Linked DNA regions of Arabidopsis thaliana. The protein of the gene in region 1 interacts with the protein of each later gene in a pairwise test. Each region holds a gene or a part of one and is shown on either strand. Other genes may lie near its edges.

Region 1 (5,397 bases):
GTGGCTAGACAGCGGACGAACCCGTCCCTTCAAACGTGGCTCACCTTTCGAACCACAGAGAGCAGTTTACACTCCAACTGTCAAAAACGTGTTCCCATGACGTCATCCTCAACGTATCTTTATCACTTTTTAAAACTAAAGACTGTTTTGTCTTTTTCTAAATCGTCCCCTTTCTCCGAACACCATACTTAAATTCAATAAAATAATAAATATCAAAACTGAACCATCGAATCGGAACCAGCCACAGTACACAATACACTTAGACGAAGTAAAGTGATTCAGAAGGACACGTGTAAGTCACATACCGTGGGACACTTGTCGTTACCAGATCCTCCGTGTTTCTCACTTTTCTTATAAAATAAAAACACAACACTTCTTCACTTTCTGTAATAAAAATATCTCCAAAAGTTCCAACACCTGAAAACATAAAAAGATAGAAAGAGAAATAAAACATCTTATCCAAAGAAAAAATGAATCCATTTTACTCTACATTCCCAGACTCGTTTCTCTCAATCTCCGATCATAGATCTCCGGTTTCAGACAGTAGTGAGTGTTCACCAAAGTTAGCTTCAAGTTGTCCAAAGAAACGAGCTGGGAGGAAGAAGTTTCGTGAGACACGTCATCCGATTTACAGAGGAGTTCGTCAGAGGAATTCTGGTAAATGGGTTTGTGAAGTTAGAGAGCCTAATAAGAAATCTAGGATTTGGTTAGGTACTTTTCCGACGGTTGAAATGGCTGCTCGTGCTCATGATGTTGCTGCTTTAGCTCTTCGTGGTCGCTCTGCTTGTCTCAATTTCGCTGATTCTGCTTGGCGGCTTCGTATTCCTGAGACTACTTGTCCTAAGGAGATTCAGAAAGCTGCGTCTGAAGCTGCAATGGCGTTTCAGAATGAGACTACGACGGAGGGATCTAAAACTGCGGCGGAGGCAGAGGAGGCGGCAGGGGAGGGGGTGAGGGAGGGGGAGAGGAGGGCGGAGGAGCAGAATGGTGGTGTGTTTTATATGGATGATGAGGCGCTTTTGGGGATGCCCAACTTTTTTGAGAATATGGCGGAGGGGATGCTTTTGCCGCCGCCGGAAGTTGGCTGGAATCATAACGACTTTGACGGAGTGGGTGACGTGTCACTCTGGAGTTTTGACGAGTAATTTTTTGGCTCTTTTTCTGGATAATAAGTTAGTTTAGGGATTATTTGGACATCTAGGATTGGTCCGGAGTTCCGTACCTGTATTTTTTGTTTGGTACCAAATCTTTAGTAATAAATCGTCTATCATTTATTCTTGTTAGAATGTTCTTTGTTTGTTTTTGGTAAACAGATTTGATCAAATTAGAGCTATAGAATTTGAAAATTTTGTTTTGTTGTATCTGAAACTGTAAATAGATTTCTCTTTGTTTCGTTGATGTATTGACAATCTTTACCAAATTTCCAGAGCTTATAAAAGCTTGAAACCTCTGCTTTTCCAAATATAATCCTGATTCACATTATCATATATTCCTTGTAGACTCAGCAAAAAAAATTAAAACTATAAAATCTCTTACACATTAGTCCAAACACGTGAATGAGTAATAGAGGTCCTTGACCATTAGACTGATATAGCTTCTATATTGTGGTTCTTAAAAAAGGTAGAATATTTATATGTGGCCTCAAGCTTCTCATGAGTCACGCCTTATGGTAATCATCTATCTTTTTTCTTCTAAGCAAACACTGAACACTTGGAAATCTTTTCACTAGAAAAACATGTCCCTGGCCCTCACTAACTTTACATGTCCTTTTCTTTCAGTTATAGAAGTGTGGGGTTTCTTGGCTCGCTAGATTTAAAAACCCTTCATTATGTATAGGGTTGTGCTTGTGCCTAGAACCCTTCATTCCAAGGCAAAAGCATAAACCTACAATCCGGTCTAAATCAGAACCGATTTAAACCGAGAGAAAACACTAAAGTAATTTTGTAAAATAGAGCCATCATAGGGATAAAATAGTAACTAAACAATAGACGTCAAGCTGACGCGACTGGTGTTCACTTTCTCTTTCTCTTCTACTACTTCTGTCCTCTCCACGAAGATCCAAAGCTTATAAACACATACAAATAAATCCACTCCAAAGTTTTTCTCTTTTTTCTCTGCATTATTATCACTTCACCACATTCACAACAATCCCAAATTTTTCTTTCTCATACTTTCATATTTTGATTACTACTTCTCAGAGATTCTTTTGGTAATTAGGGTTTCCTCCAATTTTGCAGCTTGATTTATCTATATACCAATCGGAAAAATCCTTACTTTTAAGTTCGGTCTTGTGTTAATTTGCGTCTGTTGTTATTGTAATCTAGAGAAAGAGAGTGAGAGGCAATAAAAAAAGCTATGGATTTCGATTTGAACGGAGGAAACAAACGAGTCTTCAACAGACTCGGTGGCGGTGGCGGGTCAACTCGTCCGATGGCACCAACGGATACAAGACAAAAGGTTTGTTTCCACTGGCGAGCCGGGCGTTGTAATCGTTCTCCTTGTCCTTATCTACATCGGGAATTACCGGGTCCTGGTCCGGGTCAAGGTCAAGGCCCGGGTTATACGAACAAAAGGGTCGCTGAGGAATCTGGTTTCGCGGGTCCGAGTCATCGGAGAGGACCTGGGTTTAATGGGAACTCGAGTAGTAGTTGGGGGAGATTTGGTGGGAACAGAACGGTGACGAAGACTGAGAAAGTTTGCAACTTTTGGGTAGATGGGAATTGCACATACGGTGATAAGTGTAGATACTTGCATTGTTGGAGTAAAGGAGAGAGCTTTGCGTTGTTGACTCAGCTTGATGGTCATGAGAAGCTTGTTAGTGGTATTGCTTTGCCTTCTGGTTCTGATAAGCTTTACACTGGAAGTAAAGATGAGACCTTGCGTGTTTGGGATTGTGCTTCTGGACAGGTATGGTTTGCTCAAAGGACCTTAAGCTTTCCTCAGTGATAGAATTGTTTGGTTAGGATATAGAGTGGCTTTAGAGAATGCAGTTGTTGTCCATGGATGTTATTGTTGTCCTCTCTAGCTAGAAAACCATGTTTGATGAATAGTTATAACTGCTTGGTTAAGATTTAGAGTGACACAAGAGACTGCAATTTGTCATAAGTAGAGTAGTGAGCACTGATATATCGATGGAAATTGGTGTCTTTGTTGTCAAATTAGGAAAGGAAGTGTCTAATTCGCTGATGCTGATTGTATTTGAGGAATGCATTTTCTGATCTTGTGAAAGACTGTTTCAAGTTTACTTATCGTGGATATTGTTCTTTTCTCTTTTGATTAGTGTACAGGAGTACTCAAACTTGGTGGGGAAATTGGCTGTGTGCTTAGTGAAGGCCCGTGGCTATTAGTTGGCATGCCAAACCTTGTCAAGGCAAGTATTCAGTATGATTCCTCTTAACAGTACTTTTCTTTGACTGTCACAATAGATATCGAGGAACCCTTTTCATTCTTAGATGCTTATGGGGTTATGTCTCATTGTTGTTGATACAGGCGTGGAATATTGAAACCAATGCTGACCAGAGTCTAAGTGGACCTGTTGGCCAAGTCTATTCTCTTGTTGTGGGTACTGATCTGCTCTTTGCTGGAACACAGGTAAATTTCCAAGTTTTCTTTTCTTGCTGAGATCTCTGCGAAATAGTCGGCTTTTGGTTATATAAGTGACAAGTTCTTTACATTCTGTGCAGGATGGCTCTATTTTGGCATGGAGATATAATGCTGCCACTAACTGTTTTGAACCATCAGCGTCACTGACGGGCCATACACTTGCAGTTGTTACCTTATATGTTGGGGCGAACAGACTTTATTCGGGTTCCATGGACAAAACTATAAAAGTAAGTACTAGTATTATCTATTATATTTGAATTGAAAACTCTCACTATTTTTTTCTTTCTTTGAGCTAATCTTTTTGGTTTATATGTTTTTTGTTTGATAGGTTTGGAGTTTGGATAATCTACAGTGTATACAAACACTCACTGATCATTCATCAGTTGTGATGTCTCTCATTTGCTGGGATCAATTCCTTTTGTCTTGTTCATTGGACAACACGGTTAAGGTTAGTTCGTCTTTCTTTAACTTTCATAAATTTCTTAAGTTTCATTCTTTCTCTTGTTAATGTGTTTTTCCGCTGTAGATATGGGCTGCAATCGAAGGTGGCAATTTGGAAGTAACATATACTCACAAAGAAGAACATGTATGGTTTCTTTTATAAATGTGTTACCTTCTCTTATGGTCCTAATCTATATGTTATGTGACTAAGAAATTTTGGCAATGTTTAAACTGGATTCAGGGAGTGCTAGCTCTATGTGGTGTACATGATGCAGAAGCCAAGCCTGTTTTGTTATGCGCTTGCAATGACAACACCTTGCGCCTCTACGACTTACCATCGTAAGACTTTCAACGTTTATGTATGAATTCTTCATCTCTTTCTCTCTTATTGGTTCTGATAGCTTAGGTTTGTTCATTAGATTTACGGAGAGGGGAAAAATCTTTGCAAAGCAAGAGATACGGGCGATCCAGATAGGTCCCGGGGGCATATTTTTCACGGGTGACGGAACTGGTCAAGTTAAAGTATGGAAATGGTGCACTGAACCAACCGCGGCTTTGCCTTGAGAAAGTTTGATGCTATCGTCAAAGAGATGTTTTCTACGATTTTCTTGTACCATTATATATGAGTCTATTTTGGAGACTTTTCTTTCTTGTTGAGGTCCTCCTAGTAGAAGCCACGGTCTGATGAAATGGACAGTGGCCAAGATCGTGTCATGTTAGGAGTTTTGAGACAGAATCGGGAGAATTTAGGTCCCTTTTTGTCCAATTTCAGCATTTGTCTTGTAACGCTTGGATTGTATTGGTCAATTTATCATAAAGGATTATCTTATTCAAGAGAGATTCAGAGTTGATATACAATGGATAACAAAGTTACAGAAGCTTCCTTATTATGAAACCTTAATATGTTCTTAGAAAAGCAAAGATTGTTTTCAGAGATTGAACATAACTTTGATGGCATTGCTCCCACGAGCACTGGTTTCAAAGGCATCTTCCACTTCCTTTTGAGAGAAACCGAATCTGTGGGTTATGAGTGGCTTTACATCAATCTTACCACTTGTCAGGAACTCAAGACACAATGGCCATGTGTTCTTGTACCTGAACACACCCACCACATCTACCTCCCTGTCTCCAAACCAACACATTTACTTGGTTATTATGTGATTGTACTTTTCAAAAGTTAGAAAGTTTCTTACTATGATGGTCAAAGGAGGTTACCTTGCAGCTGCAGGAGTGAGAGGGACAGTCATTATACCGTGACCCATTCCGACAAGACAGACTTTACCGCCACAACGAGTGGCTGCTAATGCTGTCGACATGGTTTTGTTAAAACCCGCACAGTCGAATGTTACATCG
Region 2 (3,385 bases), about 18 Mb from region 1:
ACAACATCCCGAAGGAAAGAGCTACTCAAGCAATGGAAGTTGCAAAACAGAGCGATGCATTCCTCGTGTTGGGTTCATCCTTAATGACAATGTCTGCTTTTCGCCTTTGCAGGTGATGCAGGAGAATAATCATCCAGTTTTGAGTTTGCATCTTACTAAGAAGCTTTCTATATACCTTTTGCAGAGCGGCTCATGAGGCTGGTGCTATGACCGCAATTGTAAATATAGGCGAAACAAGAGCTGATGACATTGTTCCATTGAAAATCAATGCTAGGGTTGGTGAGGTATGAGCATAGCATAAAGCTCTTCCCTTTCCTTCAGCCTTGAAAATGCCTTAAATATCCATATTATTTCATGATTGTCAGCCTTAATAATTTGTCATTTCGTGATTGGTTTGCTGCAGATATTGCACAGAGTTCTTGACGTGGGATCGCTCAGTGTCCCAGCTCTCTAGCACAATGTCCGGATCATTTAAGTAAACTTTGGCAAGAGCTATGTTATCATTTAGATCACCTATATATATTATTTATAACTAATCAAAATGAATGCTTGTATTCCTGCAACGTATCTCAAGTTGTAAATCCAACATCAAATAAAAGAGTAATCAACATCAAATAATAGATTCAACACATGAACTAACTCGAAGCAGCTAACACTTGCAGAACATGGTGTTGTTCTGAAAAACAAACCAAAACAACCAAAGCCACCTTCCAATACCCGATTACACAAGCTTTTAAACCTCAGAAAGCTCAGAGAGGGCCTTATCGATATCCTCCTCATGGTTCCGAAGATCGTTCCACTGCATTAAGAAAAAGGTCTCGTGTAATAAGCAGGACATATGCACGTGTGGAAGACATAAACAATGGAAGAGAGATGTGAATACCTGTTCCAGGCTTAGAGAGATACCTGCAACATATAGGAGACATCGAAAATCTTGTCAACATGATTATGCAAAGAAAGCAAACTAATATAGCTGGCCCTAGGAGACAAAAACCAAGACGTTGTTGATGAAAAGAAAACACTCTGCGCATCTCCTCCTCTCAGTCCCAAACCGCAGAAGTACTAGATATATAATAAAAGTCCCTAAGATCTGCTAACTAAATGCAGAACCTTAACGAAACAAAACATGAAAACAAAGGGATGAGGATACATTGTTGACCATAAAAAAGAAAAGAGAGGAGGATACAGAGTATTAGCAAATGTGGAATTGTGAGAAGAAGAGAGACAGTCAAAAGAAGATATGTAGTTAAAAACAAAAATTTACCTTGCTTGCTATTACAAGGTAAAGTTATACCGTCCTTGACAAAGAACTGACGAATGGCAATCCAAATCCTCCCATTGCAATTCCTCACAAAGACTCTCCGATTCTTATCTAACTGGAATGTAAACAAAACATAACATCATAAACAAATATCACAACTTGATCCAAACCCTAAAACTCATACGAACTGCTACAGACAAAAAAGAGATGAATAGTAGAGAGACTAACATTGCAGATGAAGATGTCCTCAATCTCGTCCGCTGGCTTTGCCACTTTCTTAGGCGGCGCGTGGGTCTCAGATTCGTCGCGGTCGTCTGATGCTCTGACATCCTCGTCTTTCCTTTTTCCGTTCTCAGACATTTTCTTAACCTCTAAAAAAAACACTCTTCTACTGCAAAAATTGACTCTTGAGATTCTCAAGTTAAATAAAAAGCACCTCTCTCCTTTTCTCGCGTAATATATCTACTGCGTTCACCGAATTACAACTGTGATATCAGATTCGGAACGCCATTTTACAAGCGCACAGTTTGAGAACACGCGCGGCCAAACTTAAAACGGGGGAGTTTTTTGGGAAGGTAAATATTCTTTGGAAAAGAGCAACTATAGCAATGAAAGTAGCAACACAGAGTGATACATTTATTGTGATGGGTTCATCTTCAAAGACAATGTCTGCTTATGGCCTTGTCCGGATCAAGTGAAGTTTGGCAAGAGCTATGTAACATTTAGACCTATCTTGTTTATAACTTATCAAATGAATACTTGTATTCCTGCAACGTATCTTAATTTGCAAATAAAACAGCACTACAGCAGTAAATAAAAGAGCAATCATTATATTCTTAATACCAACCAAAGCTTGTCTGAACCAAAAGTGAAAGATTCCATACACCAACTAATTTGAAGCAGCTTACACTAGCAGAACATGGTGTTGTTCTACAAAAACAACCAAAACAACTGAGCCATATTCTAATAGACGTACAACCAATGATACAAGTTTTAAAACCTAAGAAAGGTCAGAGAGGGCCTTCTCGATATCCTCTGCGTGGTTCCGAAGAGTGTTCCACTGCATTAAGGAAAAGCTGTGTAATAAGCAAATAACAAGAAAACAGAAACACTTCTAGGAGACATAAAACAGTGGAGAGAGATAGAAAGAGATGTGAGTACCTGATCCACGCTTAGAGAGATACCTGCAACGTATAACAAACATAGAGATAATCTTGTCAACATGATTAGTTATGTAGAGATAAACTAATATAGCTGTCTCTAGAGAAAGACATGAAGGAGCAATAGCACCAAAATAAACAAAACGTTGTTGTACAAAAGCAAACACTCTGCACCATCTCCGCTCATACTTACAAGTCCATAAACAGTCTCAATAAGCAGAATTGCCTATTATAAAACCCTAAGATATGCAATTCTATAAACCTGACTAAATGCAGAAACTTAACAAAGCAAAACAGTAACGAAATATAAAACTAAGAGATGAGGAAACACATTACTAGAAATAATGAATTATGAGAGCCAAGGGGCATTGGTTTAAATTACAAAATAAAGTTACCTTTCTTGCCAGGCAAAGTCTTTCCGTCCTTGACATAGAACTCACGAATGTCAATCCAAATCTTCCCGTTCCAATTCCTTACAGAGACTCTCCTATTCTTAGATATCTGATGTATAACCAACATGAACCCTAATTTGATTAAAACCCTAATTTTGAGCAAAACACATCAACAAAATTAAAACTTGACCGAAACCCATAAGCTCACTGCTAATAGAGTAGATAACGAAATTGAAAGATAGACAGAAAGTGTAGACTAACGTTGCAGACGACGATATCGTCAGACTGGTCGGAATCGTCTGCTGGCTTTGCGACTTTCTTAGCCGGCGCGTGGGTTTCAGATTCGTCATCTGATGCTCTGACATCTTCGTCTTTCCTTTTTCCTCTAGAAGACATTTTCTCCAACTGTAAATAAGCAGACCCAAAATGTTCTCTTCAGACCAGAGTAAACTCGCACTAAACAAAAAACCGAGCAATTACAAAATTTAGTAAAAGTGAGAAGGAAACCTGGTCGTGACGCTGCAACGAGTTTCTCGGAGACGGCGAAAGGACTCTTCTACTGCGAAATCGAC

The links. Proteins that work in one complex are often made in the same cells at the same time.
Region 2: the proteins of AT5G51980 (region 1) and AT5G09240 interact in a two-hybrid assay, tested with the Arabidopsis thaliana proteins (one large-scale study listed by BioGRID).

What each region holds. Positions count from the first base shown.
Region 1 is NC_003076.8:21,112,861-21,118,257, reverse strand, and holds AT5G51980 (Transducin/WD40 repeat-like superfamily protein), read left to right. Parts: upstream 1-2,060; 5' UTR 2,061-2,209; exon of another isoform or gene 2,210-2,324; 5' UTR 2,325-2,355; coding exon 2,356-2,907; intron 2,908-3,280; coding exon 3,281-3,370; intron 3,371-3,489; coding exon 3,490-3,591; intron 3,592-3,683; coding exon 3,684-3,830; intron 3,831-3,931; coding exon 3,932-4,051; intron 4,052-4,129; coding exon 4,130-4,189; intron 4,190-4,285; coding exon 4,286-4,383; intron 4,384-4,463; coding exon 4,464-4,608; 3' UTR 4,609-4,897; downstream 4,898-5,397. Other genes in the region: CBF4 (C-repeat-binding factor 4), read left to right, coding at 471-1,145; AT5G51970 (GroES-like zinc-binding alcohol dehydrogenase family protein), read right to left, coding at 4,974-5,166, 5,260-5,397.
Region 2 is NC_003076.8:2,873,160-2,876,544, forward strand, and holds AT5G09240 (ssDNA-binding transcriptional regulator), read right to left. Parts: upstream 1,691-3,385; 5' UTR 1,622-1,690; coding exon 1,490-1,621; intron 1,377-1,489; coding exon 1,265-1,376; intron 980-1,264; coding exon of another isoform or gene 907-979; coding exon 734-906; 3' UTR 501-733; downstream 1-500. Other genes in the region: SRT2 (sirtuin 2), read left to right, coding at 1-112, 185-284, 404-454; KIWI (ssDNA-binding transcriptional regulator), read right to left, coding at 2,327-2,445, 2,817-2,922, 3,075-3,209.